Anolis sagrei: one gene and its partners. The protein of the gene in region 1 purifies or fractionates together with the protein of each later gene. This does not show direct contact. Links are inferred from orthologs where the notes say so. Each region holds a gene or a part of one and is shown on either strand. Other genes may lie near its edges. The genes, in order: SLF2, SLF1 and SMC5.

Region 1 (7,409 bases):
TCCCATAAATGCAGATTGTTGTACCATCTATCTATATATATATAAAAATGCTCTGTGCATAATGACTACCATAAAAACAAAAGAACCAATGAATGAAATCACACCAAATTTGACAACAAAATGTGTCACAACACAAAGAGTGACCATCACTCAAAAAATTATGATTTTGTCATTTGGGAGTTGTAGTTGCTGGGATTTATAGTTCACCTACAATCAAAGAGCATTCTGAACTCCATCAACGATGGAATTGAACCAAACTTGGCACACAGAACTCCCATGACCAACAGAAAATACTGGAAGGTTTTGGTGGGCATTGACCTTGAGTTTGGGACTTGTAGTTCACCTACATCCAGAGAGCACCGTGGACTCAAACAATAATGGATCTGGACCAAACTTGGCACAAGCACTCGATACGTCCAAATATGAACACAGATGGAGTTTGGGGGAAATAGACCTTGACATTTGGGAGTTGTAGTCACTGGGATTCACAGTTCACCTACAATCAAAGAGCATGCTGAACCCCACAAACGACAGAATCGGGGCAAACTTCTCACACAGAACCCTCATGACCAACAGAAAATACTTAAGGCCATCCAATCCAACTCCCTTCATCAGGGCAAGAAAACGTAATCAAAGTCCTCCTGACGAAGAGCCATCCAGCCATAGATAGGTAGATAGATATGATTCACACACACACAGATATAGTATCAGAGATTTGAAAGAGACTCCTGAAGAAGGACAATGATATGTTGCATGTTCCAGGGTGGGCAAACCAGACACTCTCCACATCAACACTGACAAAGAAACAGCAAGAAATACTGTTTACCCACAAGCATAAAGAAATTACATATATTAGAAACCAACACTTTCTCATTACTTTATTTTCCAGATCAACAGACAGGGCCACAGCAATGCGTGGCAGGGGATGGCTAGTATTTAATAAAAAATAAGACATACCCTGAAAATGAGCCATAGTGTGTCTTGAGGAAAAATAAATACAAGACAGTGTCTTATTTTCAGGGAAACCATGATATAAAAAGTTAATAACAATTGGTGAAAATGTAAAGTTTTCCCCTGGCATTAAGTCCAGTCGTGTCTGATTCTGGAGGGTGGTGCTCATCTCAGTTTTTAAGCCAAAGAGCCAGCATTGTCAATAGACGCGTCAAGGTCATGTGGCCGGCATGACTGCATGGAGCACTTACATGTTTTCGAACTGGTAGGTTGGCAGAAGCTGGGGCTAGCAACAGGAGCTCACTCCACTCCCTGGATTCGAACCGCCAAACTTTCGGTCAGCAAGTTCAGCAGCTCAGTGGTGGCACAGTGAGTTAAACCCTTGTGTCAGCAGGACTGAAGACCGACAGGCCACAGGTTCAAATCCTGGGAGAACGCGGATGAGCTCCCTCTGTCAACTCCAGCTCCCCATGTTGGGACATGAGAGAAGCCTCCCACAAGGATGGTAAAACATCTTGGAGTCTCCTATGCAACATCCTTGCAGACGGCCAATTCTCTCACACCAGAAGCTACGTGCGGTTTCTCGGATCGCTCCTGGCACACACACAAAAAGCAGTTTAATCTGCTGCGCCACCGGGGGCTCTCAACAATAGGTAGATGCTGGATAAAGATAGTTTCCTGTTATTGTCGAAAGCTTTCATGGCTGGAATCACTGGGTTGTTGTAGGTTTTTTCGGGCTATATGGCCATGTTCTAGAGGCATTCTCTCCTGACGTTTCGCCTGCATCTATGGCAAGCATCCTCAGAGGTATGGCCATGTTCTAGAGGCATTCTCTTCTGACGTTTTGCCTGCATTTATGGCAAGCATCCTCAGAGGTACCTCACTACCTCTGAGGATGCAGGTGAAACGTCAGAAGAGAATGCCTCTAGAACATGGCCGTATAGCCCGAAAAAACCTACAACAAGCCATATTTATTTATTTATTTATTTAAAGTACTTCTACCCCACCCTTCTCAACCCCCGAGGGGGGACTCAGGGCGGCTTACAAAAAGGCACAATTCGATGCCTACACAAAATACACATAATGTACAAAACCATAGTTAAAACAATTATCACAGTTAAAACAGTCGGTATATAACACATCAATAAAACTAATCTCATGCTCAGCGTTCGTCTTTCAGAGTTCCATAATTCCATTCCATTAGTCAATTCCTGTCCATCGTCAAAGTCCTTTCTTTATCTGCCAGATTGTCCTAATGCCTGGTCCCAAATCCATGTTTTCAATTTTTTCCTAAAGGACAGGAGGCATGTCGCTGATCTAATTTCCCCGGGGAGTGAATTCCACAGGCGGGGGGCCACCACCGAGAAGCCCCTGCTCCTTGTCCCTGCCAACCTCACTTGTGATAGAGGCGGGGTCGAGAGCAGCGCCTCCCCAGAAGATCTTAGACTCCAAGGTGGGACGTAGAGGTTTCCTGTTGCTTGAGAGTTCCAGTTAACTGAGAGTCTACTGTGATTTGGCACGACTTTGAACCATGGAATTACAGCAGAGCTTCCTGGCAGAGAAGACTAACCTTTGCTTTGCGTGGCTGCATCAACAGCTGAGGTTTGTAATTTAGAATACACTTTGACACCACTTTTACTGCCATGGCTTAATGCTATGGAATAATGGGAGTTGTAGTTTCGGATGCTCTTCAGCCTTCTCTGCCAGAGAAAGCTGATCCCCAAACTACAGGCCCTAGGATCGCCTAGCAAGCTTCCCTGGCAGTTCAAAGTGGTACAAAAGTGAGGAAAGGCTGCCTAGATTGTGCAAACAAGGGCGTTGCATGGGAAACCACACCTCTTGTGTTTACCTGCCAGCCTTGCCTTCTCGGCCCGCCGTTCGGCAATGGCGCCCGGCGGTGCTCAGGGGAGAGCGGTCAGGGTCGCTGCCCTTTCCCCCCTCGCCGGCGCCGTTGCTAAGATTCTGCGTCATAGCCCCCGACGTCGCCGCCTTTTGAGGAAACCTCAGGGTTCCGGCTGAGAGGAAACGAAACCCCCGCGCCTTCCGCACTCCATCGCGCAAAGGAGCGGAGCAAAGGGCTTCGGAAGGAAGAAGGGCCGCTATTGGTTGCGCTCAGGGGAGGGCTTCTTTTCTATAGGCTGATGTCACCACTTGAGGCGGGAGTAGAAACAGAAGCGCTGTTCCTATTGGTTGTTGGCGCAGAGGCGGTTCAGAGCCTCCTGTCTTGTGACCTCAAGCCGTCCTGTTTTTCCCTCAGAAGAGGGAGGAAAGGGAATTGGCTTCAAAAGGCCGCTCCTTGGCGCCTTCGGCTCGCGTCGCTTCTGATTGGCTGGCTGGAAAGCGCGCGGAGGATGAGCCTTTTAAAAGCTGTTGGAATAACGGCTGAAGCAGGCACATCTGACTTGGAGTGTTAATGCAGTTTGACGCCACTTTAACTGCCAAGGCTCAATGAAAGGACCAAGGCAGAGACATCTCCAGCTCATCCCCTGTTTGGGTATCAGCCAGCACGTCAACCACTTAAATCTAGATTTTCTAAGATCTACAGAGACACTCGCTGGAACACCTCAGCAAGTGAGGTGTTCCAACTCAGTATGCATGCTGCTGAGTATGCATGCCCAGACACATCTCACCACACTAAAACAGTGGATGTGGCTCTTAATGAGACATGCCACATTATCACGGGGTGTCTGCGCCCTACACCACTGGAGAAATTACACAGTCTAGCTGGTATCGCACCACCTGACATGCGCCGGGAAGTGGCAGCCAATAGTGAAAGGACCAAGGCAGAGACATCTCCAGCTCATTCCCTGTTTGGGTATCAGCCAGCACCTCAATGACTTAAATCTAGAAATAGTTTTCTAAGATCTACAGAGACACTCGCTGGAACACCTCAGCAAGCAAGAGTCCAAAAATGGCAGGCTCAAACCCAGGACCTCAACCAATGGCTGATACCAAATGAGAGACTCCCCCCTGGGCACACAGAAGACTGGGCGACTTGGAAGGCACCAAACAGGCTGCACTCTGGCACCAGGAGATGCAGAGCCAACCTTCAGAAATGGGGCTACAAAGTGGAATCCTTGACATGCGAGTGTGGAGAGGAGCAAACCACTGACCACCTGCTGCAATGCAACCTGAGCCCTGCCACATGCACAATGGAGGACCTTCTTGCAGCAACACCAGAAGCACTCCAAGTGGCCAGCTACTGGTCAAAGGACATTTAATCAACTACCAAACTCACACATTTTGTATTTTGTCTGTTTGTTTGCTTTGTTCTGTTAGAAATGTAATATAATTTGACTGGTTGTCCTGACACGACAAATAAAAATGAGGTGGAATCCTGAGAATTGAACTGTGGTGTTGGAGAAAAGTTCTGAGAGTGCCTTGGACAGCAAGAAGATCCAACCAGTCCTTACTTCAGGAAATAAAGCCTGACTGCTCATTGGAGGGAAGAATAGTAGAGGCCAAGATGAAGTACTTTGGCCACATCATGAGAAGAAAGGAAAGCTTAGAGAAGACTGATGCTGGGGAAAATGGAAGGAAAAAGGAAGAGGGGCCGACCAAGGGCAAGATGGATGGATGGTGTCCTTGAAGTGACTAGCTTGACCTTGAAGGAGCTGGGGGTGGTGACGACCGACAGGAAGCTCTGGCGTGGACTGGCCCATGAAGTCACGAGGAGTCAGAAACCACTGAACGAATGAACAACAACAAGACACAACATTCTCTGGCAGGGAAGGCTACAGACATTGTAAAAAAACCTCAACTCCTGTTGTTTATTTATCGTGTCTCAGGAGCGAACCAAACAGTTGTATTTTTTCAAAAAACCACAAAGTTTGCAAACTTGGCATTCTATTAAATGTCCTTTGACCAGTAGCTGGCCACTTGGAGTGCCTCTGGTGTTGCTGCAAGAAGGTCCTCCATTGTGCATGTGGCAGGGCTCAGGTTACATTGTAGTAGGTGGTCTGTGGTTTGCTCTTCTCCACACTCGCATGTCGTGGACTCCACTTTATGGCCCCATTTCTTAAGGTTGGCTCTGCATCTCGTGGTGCCAGAGCGCCTTCCAAGTTGCCCAGTTTTTTGTGTGCCCAGGGGGGAGTCTCTCATTTGGTATCAGCCATTGATTGAGGTTCTGGGTTTGTGCCTGCCACTTTTGGACTCTTGCTTGCTGAGGTGTTCCAGCGAGTGTCTCTGTAGATCTTAGAAAACTATTTCTTGATTTAAGTCGTTGGCGTGCTGGCTGATATCCAAATGGGATGGGCCGGAGATATCAATGCTTTGGTCCTTTCACTACTGGTTGCTACTTCCCAGCAGATGTCAGGTGGTGCAATACCAGCTAAACACTGTAATTTCTCCAGTGGTGTAGGGCACAGACACCCTGTGATAATGCAGCATGTCTCATTAAGAGCCACATTTACTGTTTTATTATGGTGAGATGTGTTCCACACTGGGCATGCATACTCAGCAGCAGAGTAGCAAAGTGCAAGGGAGATGTCTTCACTGTATCTGATTGTGATCCCTAGGTTGTGCCAGTCAGCTGGAGACCATGAATCCATACAAGGAGCGGCTTAAAGAGTTGGACATGTTTAGCATCCAGAAGAGAAGTTCGAGAGGAGGCATGATAGCCATGTTTAAATATCTGAATGGATGTCACAAGAAAGAGGGAGCAGGCTTGTTTGCTGCTGCCCTGGAGACTGACTCAATGGAGCAATGGGTGCAAATTACAGGAAAGGATATTCAGCTGAAACATTAGGAAGAACTTCCTGACTATAAGAGCTGTTCAACAGTGAAATCCCTGCCTTGGAGTGTGGTGGAGGCTCCTTCTTTGGAGGCTTTTAAAAGAGGCTGGATGGCCATCTGTCAGGTGTGCTTTGATTGTTCTTTTCCTGCTTGGCAGGGGATTGGACTGGATGGCCCATGTGGTCTCTCCCAACTCTGTTTCTACATTTATATGGCCTCTTCCAATCCCAGTTATATATCCATGCTTTGTGAGGTTAGCTACCTAGTCTGTAACTGTTTCATTAGTCTCACTGATGTGGAGATATTGGAAATATAGATATTTATACATATATTTTATGTACATTAGAAACACTGAAATGTAGAAAAATCAAGTTCTCTGTATTAGGAAGTCAAGCTGACAGCACAGAAAGAATGCTGACGTAGATCTGTGTTGAAAGGGGAGGAAAAGGGGGGTCATTATCTATACATTCCAGAAACTGGTACAGCTTAGCACTGGCTGTACCTTCTTACTTCTAAAAAGTAAGAAGTGGTGCTGTTTCTCTCCCTCCTGTAAGGTCAAAAGAAGGCACCTTGATGGATCTGTAGCTGAACCCTAGTATCTCTAATTTGCTGTAAGCTGCTCCTTAGATAGAAAAAACTGAGATGCCCCATGCATGTAAAAAGATATAAATTGATATTTCTATGATGCTTAAGGTGATGTAGTGATGATGTTACATATGTAGAAGCACGTTTCTTTGTTTGCCTGCATTTGAAGATGTATGAAAGGGAAGTCAATGCCTTTATCCTCACTCAGGTTTGCTCTTGGAGGAGATTCCATACCAGGGTCTCAGCTGAAAATAAAAACGTACTTTTCTGCCTCTCAAAAGGATCGCTCTTGGTATTATCTCTCCTATCAGCCGCAACATTATCAGGATTCATAATCTAAATTTCCATCCACAACCTCCTTGTGACTTTGTTCTAAGAGTAGAATCATATTTTCAGGATTTTTCAAATAAGGTCCTTGATCCCTATGCACTTTGATATTAGAAAAAGGTAATATAACAATGTTTGCCTTCAAATATTAGTTAGGATAGGACACAGGAACCTATAAGAATTGGCAAGGAATAGGTGTTGGAGCCCCGGTGGTGCAGTGGGTTAAACCACTGAGCTGCTGAGCTTGTTGACTGAAAGGTCGTAGGTTTGAATCCGGGGAGCGGCGTGAGCTTCCGCTTTCAGCCCCAACTTCTGCCAATCTAGCAGTTTGAAAACATGCAAATGTGAGTAGATCAATAGGTACTGCTCCAGCGGGAAGGTAACGGCGCTCCACGCAGTCATGCTGGCCACATGATATTTGAGATGTCTATGGACAACGCTGGCTCTTCGACTTAGAAATGGAGGTGAGCACCACATCCCAGAGTCAGGCATGTCTGGACTTAATGTCAGGGGAAAACCATTACCTTTACCTTACCTTTACTTTACCAACTGGATTTTCAAAAGGACCTCTTGAATAAGCATTATTCTTATTAATTGCTGTGTGTTGAACTTCAAGTTATCACAACCTTATGAATGAGAGACATCCAAGTCATCCTGTTATCAACAGCTCTATTCTGGTATTCAGCACGCAAGAGCCAGAGTTTACTTGTTTTGTTGCATACTGAAAGTTGACAACTGGGCAACAGGGAAAGTGCTGAACAGGCTGCGCTCTGGCACCACAAGATGCAGAGCCATTCTTAAGAAATGGGCAT
Region 2 (7,942 bases), on another chromosome or scaffold:
AACTAAGAAATAAACAGGCCGAGACATCACATGCTCTGAAATAACAGTACTCTGAGATTAGAGATTATTGTTTCTCCCAGGAAGTATGTTATCTAAGGCACACAGCCCACCAGGAACAGAAGTTTTAAGATATGATTTCAGCTAGTGATGTCAAGAAGCTTCCACACATTAACTTTCGTAAATTTTCTCTTGTTCCATCACCTGAATTTCTCTCACACATCTCTATTTAAAACAACAACAACATGCATTGTGATTAAGAATGCTTTTTTTGAGCACCTGGTTTTTTGTTTGCATCCTTCTCTGACTATGGAAATTCTGAAACAAACGTTTTAGGCTGACTTCTACTGTGGCCTGTGGACAGCTATAGCAGCCCACCACCATCCCTCTTTTTCTTATGAACACAAAGCAAAGAAACACTTGTTTCTCATAAGAGAATTTCATACTACTCCTTCATACACATACCAAATGCAAAATTCAATAGGTGTGGAGAGGCCACTGTATATGGCCACTGTCTAAAACTTTCGGAATTTGTTTAGAACTCCTGAAATTAACTTTCCTATTCTATAGGTCTAGTTCTGTATGAATTCTGCAATGAAGCATGACTCTGAAGAACTAAAATGAACTTTATCATAGGATGAAAGTTTAACTATTTTTACAAAAAGACATTATACATAGATCATAGAAAGTTTATTTTTTAAATGAAATCAGTGAATTGTTATGTTAATAATTTTATTTCTCAAGTTATGTTGATTGATGATTTACTGTGTTTGAATAGGCAAAGAGCATTTGCTCCACAGCCTCCAAAAATTCTTCCACAAACTGTTGGGTGTCATCTTTGATATTTATCACCATGTAAGCACTTTTGTTTATCCATTCAGTCACTTCCGACTCTTTGTGACCTCATGGACCAGTCCACACCAGAGCTCCCTGTCGGCCATCACCATCCTCAGCTCCTTCACAGTCAAGCCACTTCAAGGATACCATCCATCCATTTTGCCATTCGCCGGCCCCTCTTTCATTTTCCTTCCATTTTCCCCAGCATCATTGTCTTCTCCTGTTTTCTTATGATGTGGCCAAAGTACTTCAACTTTGGCTCCAACCCTAAGAACTGCAGTGCTACTTTCCATCCCCAAAATAGAGAACATGTATCATCATGTGTGCACAATCATGTTTTTTTTACTGCATCACATCCACAATCACAAGTCAGAACTGTTCTGTCAAACCAAGCCAATAATAAGTGCAGTAAATATAGTAGCAAGACCATCATCATTTGGAGCATTAGATTCTTCTAAAAGGATCCCTGTGAGCAGTCCAAGAAGCAGTCACCTGGCTAAAGTGTTAAACAGTTGAGCATTCCCTATCTGGAATCCCAAACTCAGTAGACTCTCTGTTAATTAACGGAAGCAACTAGAACTCCCAAATAGCAAAAGTTTGACTGCCATTTAATTAAAATTGCATACTGCATTCACAAAGCTGTTTTTATAATTAAGTAAAAGTGTGTTACCTTAAAATAAGTTTGCCTTTGTCTTACCTTGTTTCTAATTACTGTATTTCAATATTAATATCATGTCAACACTGAGTTTATAGTGTCGTATAATATTGTATATAGTATCAGGCCTATTTTAATAGTAACTCTCAAGCAACCAGAAACCATATTTATTCAGTGCTACCAATCTTCATAGGTGTCAATTAATTGAGTCCAATATTCAAAATTCCCCACATGGATAGCTGACATAGTGACACATTTGCTTTCTGATTATTCAACATAAACACACCTCATTTCATGCACAGTATTACTAAAAATGTAGTATAAAATTGCAGTGGGTCCTTCATATCCACTGGAGTGGATATGCACCTTGCCCCCACCCCCCAAACCCATGTATGCTCAAGTCCCATTAAACACATTCATGTAATGAAATGCTTTCCTGTATATAATATGGTAAAATCAAGGTTTGCTTTACAAAAACAAAAACAAAAAAAGGGGGGGGGCTGCTTTCAAGTCATGGATGACTGAATCTGTGGATACAGAGAGATGACTGTACCTTACACGATGTGTGCATGAAGCACACATTAATTTTGTGTTTTAGACTTAAATCCTATCTACAAAACAACTTATTATTATGTAAAAATATGGAAGTATAAGTATTCCAATGAGGGGATCCAAAATATCCAAGCATTTCTGATAAGGGATACTTGACTTGTACAAGATCTATAATTAGCACTTTTGCTACTAGTAGAGCAGTACCACTGAGAAGTCACAGCTTTGTGTCCCCTTTATGGCTCTCAGCACAAGTCTATACTTAGACATAATCTCCTTTAAACTCAATGGGATTTACTCAGGAATTGAAAATACACAATGCAACAACTGAGTGGCCACAATAACTTCAGCTGACTTCCAAAGAGAGTAGCAGTGAATGCCCAGGAAATTTGAAAAAGTACGCCAGTTATAATAATGATAATAATAACCTTTATTTATATGTTGCTTTTCTCCCACAATGAAGACCCAATGTTGTTTCCAACATTTTAAAATACAATACAAAATCAACCACTCTCAACATATAAACATTGTAAACAATCACATAGTACATAAACAAACCTTTAAAACAATATACATTGTTTTGTCCTGTTATATCTTATTGCATTAGTTCCCCTTATGTTACCTATTAGGGCAGTGGCTCCCAACCTTGTTTTGCCCCTGTCCCACCTAAGCATCTAAATTCCTGATTCCCCCCCCCCCCCCCCCCCGCCCTCGACATATAGTTCTGATTATTAAAAAAGTGAAATCCTATTTAGGTGGAGGAAACTTTAAAGGCCTTTTTATGAGTGATGGTCACTTGTTGGCCTGATAGGTGTGTTGTATCCACATTTGGTGTCAATCTGTCCAATGGTTTTTGAGTTATGTTAATCCCACAAACGGACATTACATTTTTATTTATATAGATTTACAGTATTTATATAACACTTTTCTCACCCCTGGGGGGACTCAAAGCAGTTTACAAAAAATAATGGCAAAATTCAATGCCTTACATACATAAACCAAATCATAAATCGAACAGCATATGCCTAAGCATAAAATGCAATACAACAAATTTGCCGTAAGATAATAGGACATTCAAGCACAAAGTATAAAAATTGAAAACACCTAATAAAAACATTAAAATCACATGATCCAAACTCGTAGACCAGGTCATTCCAGATTATTTAATGTATTTATATGCATTGTTTTATGATTTTTTTATTATTTTAATGCACAATGTATTTGTATGTTTTATGTTGTAATGCGGCACTGAATATTGCCAATTTGGAAGCTGCTCTGAAGCCCCTTCCACAGAACTGAATAAAACTCAACATTATCTGCTTTGAACTGGGATATAGGACAGTGTGGACTAAGATAACTCAGTTCAAAGCAGATATTCTAGGTTATATGGCTGTGTGGAAGGGTTCTGAGTCTCCTCTGGGGTTGAGATAGAGCAGGGATAAAAATGTAGTAAATAAATAAAGTCTTGAGTTTTCTCTGCCACACCATGCCACACCAAACTACAACTCCCATTGTATTGACCCATGGCAGTTAAAAGTGGTGTCAAACAGCATTCATTCTCAAGCAGGAATGGGCAGATTGTGAAATTGTGTGAGTTGAAATCCAAAACATCTAGAGGGTGAAAGTTTGCCCATGCTTGGTGTAAATGCTTCACGACAGAATAATAATAATAATAATAATAATAATAATAATAATAGCGACCATTAGAACAAATGCCATCAAAGCCAGGATTGAAAAGTCTATGACAGATCCCAAATGTAGACTCTGCAAGGAAGCAGATGAAACAGTAGATCACATCCTCAGCTGCTGCAAGAAGATTGTGCAGACCGACTACAAGCAGAGGCACAACACCGTTGCTCAGATGATTCATTGCAACCTGTGCCACAAACACCATCTGCCTGCGACAAAAAACTGGTGGGATCACAAGCCAGAAAAAGTTACAGAGAATGAACACATCAAACTCCTCTGGGACTTTCATATTCAGACAGAGTTTTGGAGCACACTACTCCTGACCTCAAAATCCTGTTAAAAAACAAAGTATGAATCGTTGATGTCGCAATCCCAGGCGACAGCAGGATTGAAGAGAAACAACTGGAAAAGCTGACATGATATGTGGACTCATCTTATTGTGTTTCTAATAATAATAATAATAATAATAATAATAATAATGGTATAATAATAATAATAATACATCACACAGTCCGAGACACTTGGGAGGTGTCCGACATGTGATCCAATACAACAGCCAGCAGAGTGATCTTGTTTGCTGTGGACTCATCTTATTGTGTTTCTAATAATAATAATAATAGTAATAATAATAACAACAATAATAATGAAGGAATAATAATAATAATAATAATAATAATAATAATACATCACACAGTCCTAGCCGCTTGGGAAGTATTTGACTTGTGATTTTGTGACACGAAATCCAGCATATAGATCTCGTTTGCTGTGACATACTGTTATTTTTGTGTCAGTAAAATAATAATGATAATAATAATAATAATAGTAAGCCCCCGTAGAGAAGCTCCAGCGCTGGAGAATCAACACCCACTCGAGGCCAGGGATTCCTGGGAGTTGCAGTTGTGTGAGGCGGCAAGACTTTGGGGCAGAGAAGGCGGGAGGCCTTGTCAAACTACAACTCCCGTGACTGTACAGCCTGGAGCCATGGCGGTGGAAGCTGAGGTCTCCCCTTGGCGTCCCCCGTTCCTCCTCCCTCGGGTGCCACTTACCCACTAGGCCGCGCCCGCTCCCTTCTCACTCGGGCGCCACGGAGACCGGCCGGCGTCGCTGACAACGGGCCGGAAGTCCTGGGCTCCACTTCCGGGGGCGGGGCTTCATCTCCCCGAGCCCGCCAACCAGGAGGACGCGGAAGCGGGAAAGGGAGAGAGAGGAAGAGAGAGAGAGGGAGAGAAGAGCCGGGCGAGGTGGTCCTCCTAAGAAGGTAAAAGGCGCGGAGCTGGGCATGTGCGTTTTGCTGGCTTTCGGGTTGCGCTTGGGAGAGGGCCTCTTGGCCTGGCTTAGGGCTACGCTACAGCAGGGATGCAGCATGGCACTCCTTTCATTGATATGGAGCAAAAGGAAAGGGCTTGTGGCTGTTCGGAATGGTGGCAGATGAAGTCCAAAACACCCGGAGAGAGGGCCCAAGTTGGCCCATGCCTGGTGTAGACGAAGAGTACAATAGCGTCCCTTATATATACAGAACCTGGCTTCCATATTATTCTGTAGTACAGCCAGGCCTGTAGCGAGGGGGGGATGGGGGGGGGGTTAGGGGTTCAACCCCCCCCCTCCCGAAATGTTTCAGATTTTTTTTTTTTTTAAAAACCCAGTTTACTCATGAATTTTAACTGGTTAACCAAATCCGCATGCTAAGTCTATGAGATGCAAAAAAATTAAGAGTCCCTCCAGAACTGCAAACACTATCTCAAGCCAATATTTATTTATTATTTACCTTATTTATTTATTTACCTTACTTATATACTGCTGTTCTCAGCCCGAAGGCAACTCACAGCGGTTCACAACAAATACGAACAGCAAAAATTCAGTGCTACAGTATAGAAACAGTTAACAACCTAACACATTACACAATTAATAAACAGTTACTACAATACCCATTCACTGTCGTCTCGTCATCAAAAACATGTTCCAGATTCGTCATCCATTGTTCCATTCCAATGTTCATTAACCAATCATTGCACTAATTATTGGAACGCCTGCTCAAACAGCCAGGTCTTCACTTTTTTGCGGAATACCATTAGAGATGGTGCTAGTCTAATGTCCGTAGGAAGGGCGTTCCACAGCCGATGAGCCACCACCAAGAAGGCCCTATCTCTCGTCCCCGCCAGCCGAGCTTGAGAAGCAGGCGGGATCAAGAGCAGGGTCTCCCTGGAAGATCTCAAAGTCCTGGTGGGTTCATAGGCAGAGATGCGGTCGGATAGGTAGCTTGGGCCCGAACCATTTAGGGCTTTAAAGGCCAACGCCAGCACTTTGAATTCAGCCCAGTAGCAGATCGGTAGCCAGTGGAGTTGGCACAACAGGGGGGTTGTATGTTCCCTGCGCTCCGCTCCTGTTAAAATCATGGCTGCCGAGCGTTGGACTAGTTGGAGCTTCCGAGCTGTCTTCAAAGGCAACCCCACGTAGAGAGCGTTGCAGTAGTCTAAACGGGATGTAACCAGAGCGTGGACTACTGTGGCCAAGTTATTCTAACTTATATGCCGCCACTCCCCTGGGGTTCGGAGCGGCTTACAAGAACAGGCTAAAATCAAACACAATTGAAAAACAATTTAAAACAATTTAAAAACAGCAATATCAGAGATCAAAGTCCCGTCGAAACAGATATGTCTTACATGCCCTGCGGAAAGCTGATAAGTCCCGCAAGGCACGGACTTCAGGTGGCAGAGTATTCCAGAGTGATGGTGCCACTGCTGTAAAGGCTCTGCGTCTGGTTGCTGTTAGACACAAGGTCTTGACACTGGGAATTTCCAATAGATCATGGTCCTCAGAACGGACGGATCTCTGGGGTTGGTAGGGGGTGAGGCGGTCCCTCAGGTACATCGGCCCCAGACCATGCAAGGCCTTAAATATTGACAATTTATTCACACTGTCATTACTTGCAGGAATAGCCGATGTAGTGAAGCAACCAAGTTGGTTGTGTGTGTGTTGAATGCTCTCATTAAGGAGGCCAGACTTGGTGGAGATGGTTGACAGGGGCGGAGCTGCAGGCTATTGAAGGCTGCTCTGCCCCTGTTGTGCTCTTTGCTTCAGCGTGAGCTAGAAGGCAGGTTTCAACACATACACCCCCCGCAAAATTTTCAACTTCCCTCCCCCAAAAATTTCAACCCATCCCGAATTTTTTTTCTGGCTACGGCCCTGAGTACAGCGGAAGGAATAGGTTTGTATTCACAAAAGATCGTGCTAAAATAAAATCAAGTTAGATTTAAGGGTGCTGCCACATTTCCTGTTCTCCCTCCTTCTTGTATTATGCTCCACATAAACATTAAAAAAACCAAGATTATGGCAACAAGAATGATTGACAACTGGAAAATAGAGGGAGAAAATGTGGAGGCCATGACAGACTTTGTATTTCTAGGTGCAAAGATTACTGCAGACGCAGACTGCGGCCAGGAAATCAGGAAACGCTTACTTCTTGGGAGGAGAGCAATGTCCAGTCTCGATAAAATAGTAAAGAGTAGAGACATCAGACTGGCAACAAAGATCCGCCTAGTCAAAGCCATGGTATTCCCTGTAGTAACCTACGGATGTGAGAGCTGAACCTTAGGAAAGGCTGAGCGAAGGAAGATCGATGCTTTTGAGCTGTGGTGTTGGAGGAAAGTTTAGAGAGTGCCTTGGACTGCGAGAAGATCCAACCAGTCCATCCTCCAGGAAATAAAGCCAGGCTGCTCATTGGAGGGAAGGATACTAGAGACAAAGTTGAAGTACTTTGGCCACATCATGAGGAGACAGCAAAGCCTAAGAAGACAATTATGCTGGGGAAAGTGGAAGGCAAAAGGAAGAGGGGCCGACCAAGGACAAGATGGATGGATGGCATCCTTGAAGTGACTGGACTGACCTTGAAGGAGCAGGGGGTGGTGACGGCCGACAGGGAGCTCTGGCGTGGGCTGGTCCATGAGGTTACGAAGAGTCAGAGAGGACTGAACGAATGAACAACAAACAGAGTTGGAAGAGACCTCATGGGTAGGGCCATAGCCAGAAAAAAAAAATCGGGGAGGGTTGAAACTTTTTTTTAGCAAATCATGAAGAGTAGTTCGATAACACAACAACATTTTTAATACAGTCCAAAGATCCTTATTGCTCCGTAAAAGGTAGAAGATACAAGGTATGCAAGGTTAGTAAGGCCAAAAATAGCCAAAACTGATTAAAACACACGATGTGGGTGGAATT
Region 3 (7,507 bases), on another chromosome or scaffold:
CTAACAGCTGGTAAACTGGCTGGGATTTCTGGGAGTTGTAGGCCAGAAACATCTCGGGACCCCAGGTTGAGAACCACTGGGTTTTGCGGTAATAGTATGAAAGCTGGGTCCAGAAGTTCTGAGTCTTATGCTCTTTCTGCTTCGCTCCTTCGGGAGCGCTGTTTGTGTAACGCAGAACGGAACACAAGATATTATAGAACAGGGGTCCTCAAACTAAGGCCCGGAGGCCGGAAACAGCCCTCCAAGGTCATTCACCCGGCCCTCGCTCAGGGTCAGCCTAAGCCTGAAATGACTTGAAAGCACACAACAACAACAACAACAACAACAACAACAGCAGCAGCAGCAACACCAATCCTATCTCATTAGTCAAAAGCAGGCCCACACTTCCCACTGAAAAACTAATAAGTTTATATTTGTTAAAATTGTTCTTCATTTTAATTATTGTATTGTTTTTAAGTGTTTTTCCCCACTACAAATAAGATATGTATAGTGTGCATAGGCGTTCATTTTCCTTCAAATTATAATCCAGCCCTCCAACAGTTTGATGGACAGTGACCTGGCCCTCTGTTTAAAAAGTTTGAGGACCCCTGTTATAGAAGGAATGTAAGAGTTCTTTAATGGTAAAACCCTAAGCCTTACCTGAACCCTTACCCTAAACCAGTGGTTCTCAACCTGGGGTCCCCAGATGTTTTTTGCCTTCAACTCCCTGAAGTCCTAACAGCTGGTAAACTGGCTGGGATTTCTGGGAGTTGTAGGCCAGAAACATCTGGGGACCCCAGGTTGAGAACCACTGCAAACCTTACCCTATTTGTTTATTTACAGCATTTATGTGCTGCCCTGCTCACCCCGAAGGGGACTCAAGAGCGGCTTACAAGGTATATATTACATACAATATATTATATTATTAGCATAGTACAATATCAGCATTAAACATTGCTATATTGCACCATACCACTATATCATAATATTATTAGTAATATTACAAGTAATGTAAATATATAATTATAATATATTATTATTATCATATTGCAGTACATTATAATATTATAAATGTATGTATACACAATATATTATATTATTAGAATATTATTAGAATATAATACCCTAAGCCTAACCCTTCACCCTAATCGTAACCCTAACACAAACCCTAAACCTTACCCTAACGAGGATGAGGGAGAGGGCCTTCTCTATGGTGGCCCCCCGACTCTGGAACTCACTCCCTAAAGATATCAGACAAGCCCGCACTTTGGCAGTCTTTAGGAAGAGCTTGAAAACGTGGCTGTTCTAGTGTGCCTTCCCTGAATAAAGGAAATAAGCCCCTGATCTGACCAATTTTCTACTATACATCCTCTGCACTTTATCCGTTGGATTGATCTCCCTACATCACCCTCTAAAACCCCCATGTTTAGACATACCCTACTCTGTACAAACCCAGTGTTTTTAATTTTTTTCTATTACATTTGGCCCTGCTATAGTGTTTTAAATCTTGTGTTATTGCTTATATGTTTATGTTTTTATATTGTTTTATTTGCTTGTTTGCTTTGTTGATGTACTGTTGTATTTGTATTTGATGGGCTTGGCCTCATGTAAGCCACCTCAAGTCCCTTTGGGGAGATGGTGGCGGGGTATAAATAAAGTTTTTTATTATTATTACTAGCTGTCCCCTGCCACACGTTGCTGTGGCCCAGTCTATTGATCTGGAAAATAAAGTAATTAGAAAGTGTTGGTTTCTAATATATGTAATTTCTTTATGCTTGTGGGTAAACAGTATTTCTGTTTCTATGTCAGTGTTGATGTGGAGAGTGTCTGGTTTGCCCACCCTGGAACATGCAACATATTGTCCTTCTTTAAGGGTCCCTTTCAAATTTATGATACTATATCTCTATGTGTGTGAATCAGATCTGTCTATCTATACCTATGGCTGGATGGCTCTTTGTCAGGAGGACTTTGATTACGTTTTCTTGACCTGATGAGGGGAATTGAATTGAATGGCCTTAAGTATTTTCTGTTGGTCATGGGAGTTCTGTGTGGGAAGTTTGCCCCGATTCTGTGGTTTGTGGAGTTCAGAACGCTCTTTGATTATAGGTATACTGTGAATCCCAGTGACTACAACTCCCAAATGTCAAGGTCTATTTCCCCCCAAACTCCATCTGTGTTCATATTTGGGCGTACTGAGTGTTTGTGCCAAGTTTGCTCCAGATCCATCATTGTTTGAGTCCACAGTTCTCTCTGGTTGTAGGTGAACTACAACTCCCAAACTCAAGATCAGTGCCCACCAAACCCTTCCAGTATTTTCTGTTGGTCAGGGGAGTTCTGTGTGCCAAGTATGGTTCAATTCCATCGTTGATGGAGTTTAGAATGCTCTTTGATTGTAGGTGAACTATAAATCCCAGCAACTACAACTCCCAAATGACAAAATCATAATTTTTGAGTGATGGTCACTCCTTGTGTTGTGAGACGTTTTGTTGCCAAATTTGGTGTGATTTCGTTCATTGGTTCTTTTGTTTTTAAGGTACTCACTATGTACAGAGCATTTTATATATATATAGATTATTATTATTATTATTATTATTACTACCCTAAGCCTAACCGGTGACCCAGCTATCATACTATCACCCAAACTATGACCCGGAGCTGAATTGTGTGTCTTGACTGGGGACTCCTTCTGCAGTGAGAGAACCCTCCGCCCTGTGCCAGGACCATCCAGCATCTCCACCCACTGAGCGCGCTCCTCCCTCTTTTATAGGAGCGCTGTCTCCATGGTAACCCAAAGCCCCGTGCCAAGTCCTCACCCCCCCCCCCCCCCCCCCCACTTACAGGAAGTTCTCCATAGATATCCGCAGGATAGCACCTTCTACAAAGCGCGACGCTCCTTCCCGCTGGGTACCAGCTTCCGGCTCTGCCACCTCCACGCTCCGCTGGCCCCTGCGGCGGCTGCCACTGCTCTCTCCGGCTTCGGCGCCCTTTGACTTGCGCTTGGCAGGAGTCGCCATCTTTACGGCTTCCCGCAACGGCACTTCTTGTTGCGAGGGTTGAGAAAAGCGGCAATGGAACGCCCATCGCCCATTGGCCGGCTCGGCAGAACGTCATGCGGAGGTCGTTTGTCATTGGCTGGGCTCAGAAATATGCCCCTCCCTTTAGAAAACAGTTAAAAACCTGAACTGGGTTCTGATTGGTCACGGAGGAGGAGCGCGGGAACACACAAAGGCGGTGTCACGCTGGGATTGGCTAGTGGCGCGTGCCGCCTTGTTCACGTGGTGCGGCTGGGGCTACTCGATACGCGGAAGAAACCCCAAGATTTTCCTTATGGCTCCTACACTATATGGAGAGGGGAAAACTACGATTCCCATGGTCCCTTGCGCCAGAAATCATTGCGAGTTAGGTTTTGGTGGCGCAGGGCTTACTGGGAAATGTAGTCACTGTAGCTATAGACCTTCAGGTTATGTTGAGCTGCAGATTCTAGAGCAGGCATGGGCAAACTTCGGCCCTCCAGGTGTTTGGACTTTAGGAATTGTGGGAGCTGAAGTCCAAAACACCTGGAGGACCAAGTTTGCCCATGCAGTGAAGAATCAATGCAGCTTGACAGATTAATGTAGTATCAATACAGTCTGACAGATCAACTGCCATGGTTCAATGCTCTAAAGAGTTGTAGCTTTTCCTTATGGCTCCTACACTATATGGAGAGGAGAAAACTACGATTCCCGTTGTCCTTTGCGCCAGAAATCATTACGAGTTAGGTTTTGGTAGCACAGGGCTTACTGGGAAATGTAGTCGTCGTGCCTATAGACCTTCAGTTTCACCTGCTGAGCTGCAGAGTCTATATCAGGCATGGGCAAACTTCAGCCCTCCAGGTGTCTTGGACTTCAACTCCCACAAATCTATTAAGGAGCAAGCTCAGAATTAAAGTATAATTAGGGTATGTGGTGTCAATTATCTATCACTGACATAAGGCAGAAGGAACAGATCTGCCACTCCTCCATTACTGTTACCTTTCAGCCTCCCTGTACCAATAACTTGGCTGTCTCAAACTCCCCTCTTTCTTGCTTCGTAGTAAAGATAAAGGTTTTCCCCTGACAGTCGTGTCCGACTCTGGTGGTTGGTGCTTTCTAGGCCGGTGTTGTCCGTAGACACCTCCAAGATCATGTGGCCAGCATGACTGCATGGAGTGCCGTTACCTTCCAGACGAAGCAGTACCTATTGATCTACTCACATTTGCATGTTTTTGAACTGCTAGGTTGGCAGAAGCTGGGGCTAACAGCAGAAGCTCACGCCGCTCCTCGGATTTGAACCTGTGACCAGGCCCGTAGCCAGGATTTCGTTTCGGGGGGGGGGGGGGGCTGAATTTTTTTTCAGGGGGATTTCGGGGGGGGCTGAGTTTCGGGGGGGGGCTGAGTCTGAGTGAAAGAGGGTCTAGCCTAGCAAACCTTTTGTATCATTACCCCAATACCCCCATGCATATGGGATATATTGAGCATGGTGATCAGATCATGATAGGAATAAACATAACAGTTTAAATAATGCACCAGTAAGGCCTTTTCACGAACCACCATGAAAATTTGGGGGGGGGGGGGCTGAAGCCCCCCGGAGCGCCCCCCCCCCCCCCCCCCCCCCGCTACATGCCTGCCTGTGACCTTTCGGTCAACAAGCTCAGCAGCTCAGCGGTTTAACACACTGCTCTACCAGGGGCTCCTTGCTTCATACAGTGATGGAAATACTGTGCCTTTCTACCTGCCCTCTGTTTAAAGCAATACTCTGTTTTGCATGTATTTTATAGAAGTGCACTTTAATATGTATCTTTTATGGAAACATATTTAAAATGTATTTTAATTTTTTTACAGTGTTTGTTTTTTTACTATGCTGTAACTCACCTAAAGCCACAAAGAGAGAATCATAGAATCACAAAGTTGGAAGAGACCTCGTGGCCCATGCCAAGAAGCCGGGGAGAGGTAAGAAATAAAATTATTATTATTATTATTATTATTATTATTATTATTATTATATTTTTCTAATTTTTTCTCCACCTACAATTTTTCTTTCTGGTCTTTTGTCTATCCTTTACTCTCAATTTTCTCCCTTGGTCAGTTCAATTCAGTCTTGAGTTCTCTGTCCATATTTTTCCCTCTTACGATTTATGCATTTTCCTTTCAACCCGCAGCACGCACCTTGACATCTTCAAATTCAATTGAATGGTGATTGCACATATTGCGCCATTTGCTTCCAGAAAGATGGTCTCCAGCACTGCCAGTCAAAAAAACATAATGATGTTTTTATACTGTCTTTATTAATTTTCTATGTGAAAAAGATAGACAAAATAAACATTTGGGATTATAACAAAAAATAAACAGTGGGAGAATCCAAGAGGTTTGTGGATGGAATACTTTAAAATCAGAGCCCCCTGCAAAAATTAATAAGGGATGAATGATCAAGGGTCTGGAGAACAAGCCCTATGAGGAGTGGCTTAAAGAGCTGAGCATGTTTAGCCTGAAGAAGAGAAAACAGAGAGGAGACATGATTGCCATGCATAAATATGTGAGAGGAAGCAAGCTGCTGCCCTGGAGACTAGGATGCGGAACAATGGCTTTAAACTACAAGAAAGGAGATTCCACCTGAACATTAGGAAGAACTTCCTGACTGTGAGAGCCGTTCAGCAGTGGAACTCTCTGCCCTGGAGTGTGGTGGAGGCTCCTTCTTTGGAGACTTTGAAACAGAGACTGGATGGCCATCTGTCAGGGATGCTTTGAATGTGATTTTCCTGCTTCTTGGCAGGGGTTGGACTGGATGGCCCATGAGATCTCTTCCAACTCTATGATTCTATGATTCCAGGTCAAGGTCTTAGTTGATCTAGAAGATAACCTTTGTATTTCCACCAGGTGGCAGCAGTGTATTCGAATTAGTTCCTGGTGACACTGTGTTTTCCAAATATACTCTTGCATGTCTTTAAGTTCTTTCCAATTTATGGAAGTCTAAGGCAACCGTATCATAGGGTTTTTGTGGCAAAGTCCAGAGGGGATTTGACTTTGCCTTCCTCTGAGGCTGGATCCACACTGCCACGTAATTCAGTTTCAGAATGCAGATTACCTGCTTAAAACTAGATTATATGAGTCTACACTGCCATAATCCAGTTCAATGCAGTAAATCTGCACTCAGAAACTGGCTTATATGGTAGTGTAGATGGGTCCTGAGAGAGTGGCTTACCCAAGGTCATCCTGTGAGTTTCCATGGCTGAGTGAGGATTTGAACCCTGATTCCATGCCGTTCAAACTACACCATGTTGGCTTTCTTTTACAAGTATTTTGCAAGACATTTAAGACTTCATTTAAAATATCCAGTTGCAAAAAAAAGATATCATGAGATGTACTGTCAATCCTCAGTGACTGGTATAGGGCATATACATTTATTTATTTATTTATTTATACGTGAACTTAAAGGAAATAATGTAATATTTTAAAGATGTATTTAGAAATTAGGGGTAATGACAAATGAGATAGAAGGATATTGCAAAGAAGAAAAAGAGATAAATTATTTATTTATCGTGTCATTAGCAACCATACCATTGTGTTACAATTCTAACAGAACAAAACAAACACACAGATTAAAAAGAAAAAGGGAAAAAAAACACAGATTTTGCAAACTTGGTAGTTGGTTAAATGTCCTTTGACCAGTATCTGGCCACTTGGAGTGCCTCTGGTGTTGCCACAAGAAGGTCCTCCATTGTGCATGTGGCAGGGCTCAGGTTGCATTGCAGCAGGTGGTCAGTGGTTTGTTCTTCTCCGCACTTGCATGCCGAGGATTCCACCCTGTAGCCTCATTTCTTAAGATTGGCTCTGCATCTCGTGGTGCCAGAGCGCAGTTTCTTCAGCGCCTTCCAAGTCGTCCAGTCTTCTGTGTGCCCAGGGGGGAGTCTATCATCTGATATCACCCATGGATTGAGGTGCTGGGTTTGGGCCTGCCACTTTTGGACTCTTGCTTGCTGGGGTGTTCCAGTGAGTGTCTCTGTAGAGCTAAGAAAACTATGTCTTGATTTAAGTCGTTGACGTGCTGGCTGATACCCAAACAGTGGATGAGCTGGAGATGTCTCTGCCTTGGTCCTTTCAATTTTGGCTGCTACTTCCCGGGGGATGTCAGGTGGTGCAATACCGGCTAAGCAGTGTAATTTCTCCAGTGGTGTGGGGCGCAGTCACCCTGTGATAATGCGGCATGTCTCATTAAGAGCCACATCTACTGTTTTAGTGTGGTGAGATGTGTTCCCCACTGGGCATGCATACTCAGCAGCAGAGTAGCATAGCGCAAGGGCAGATGTCTTCACTGTGTCTGGTTGTGATCCCCAGGTTGTGCCAGTCAGCTTTCGTATGATGTTGTTTCTAGCGCCCACTTTTTGCTTATTTATTATTTGCTTTATTTCTATACCGCATTTTTCAGCCTAATTCGGCGAAGTTTTGCTTGATGTTCAGGCAGTGCTTCTTGTAGGTCAGAGCACGGTCCAAAGTGACTCCCAGGTATTTGGGTG

The links.
Region 2: the proteins of SLF2 (region 1) and SLF1 purify together in Homo sapiens (co-immunoprecipitation; 3 studies listed by BioGRID and IntAct, with this or other methods). This does not show direct contact. The link is inferred for Anolis sagrei from reciprocal best matches to the Homo sapiens genes SLF2 and SLF1.
Region 3: the proteins of SLF2 (region 1) and SMC5 purify together in Homo sapiens (affinity purification with mass spectrometry; 3 studies listed by BioGRID and IntAct, with this or other methods). This does not show direct contact. The link is inferred for Anolis sagrei from reciprocal best matches to the Homo sapiens genes SLF2 and SMC5.

What each region holds. Positions count from the first base shown.
Region 1 is NC_090023.1:215,161,324-215,168,732, reverse strand, and holds the start of SLF2 (SMC5-SMC6 complex localization factor protein 2), read right to left. Parts: upstream 3,054-7,409; 5' UTR 2,923-3,053; coding exon 2,801-2,922; intron 1-2,800. UniProt on the Homo sapiens protein: Plays a role in the DNA damage response (DDR) pathway by regulating postreplication repair of UV-damaged DNA and genomic stability maintenance.
Region 2 is NC_090022.1:253,906,411-253,914,352, reverse strand, and holds the start of SLF1 (SMC5-SMC6 complex localization factor protein 1), read left to right. Parts: upstream 1-4,900; 5' UTR 4,901-4,985; intron 4,986-7,942. UniProt on the Homo sapiens protein: Plays a role in the DNA damage response (DDR) pathway by regulating postreplication repair of UV-damaged DNA and genomic stability maintenance.
Region 3 is NC_090022.1:222,264,663-222,272,169, reverse strand, and holds the start of SMC5 (structural maintenance of chromosomes protein 5), read right to left. Parts: upstream 3,056-7,507; 5' UTR 2,994-3,055; coding exon 2,818-2,993; intron 1-2,817. UniProt on the Homo sapiens protein: Core component of the SMC5-SMC6 complex, a complex involved in repair of DNA double-strand breaks by homologous recombination.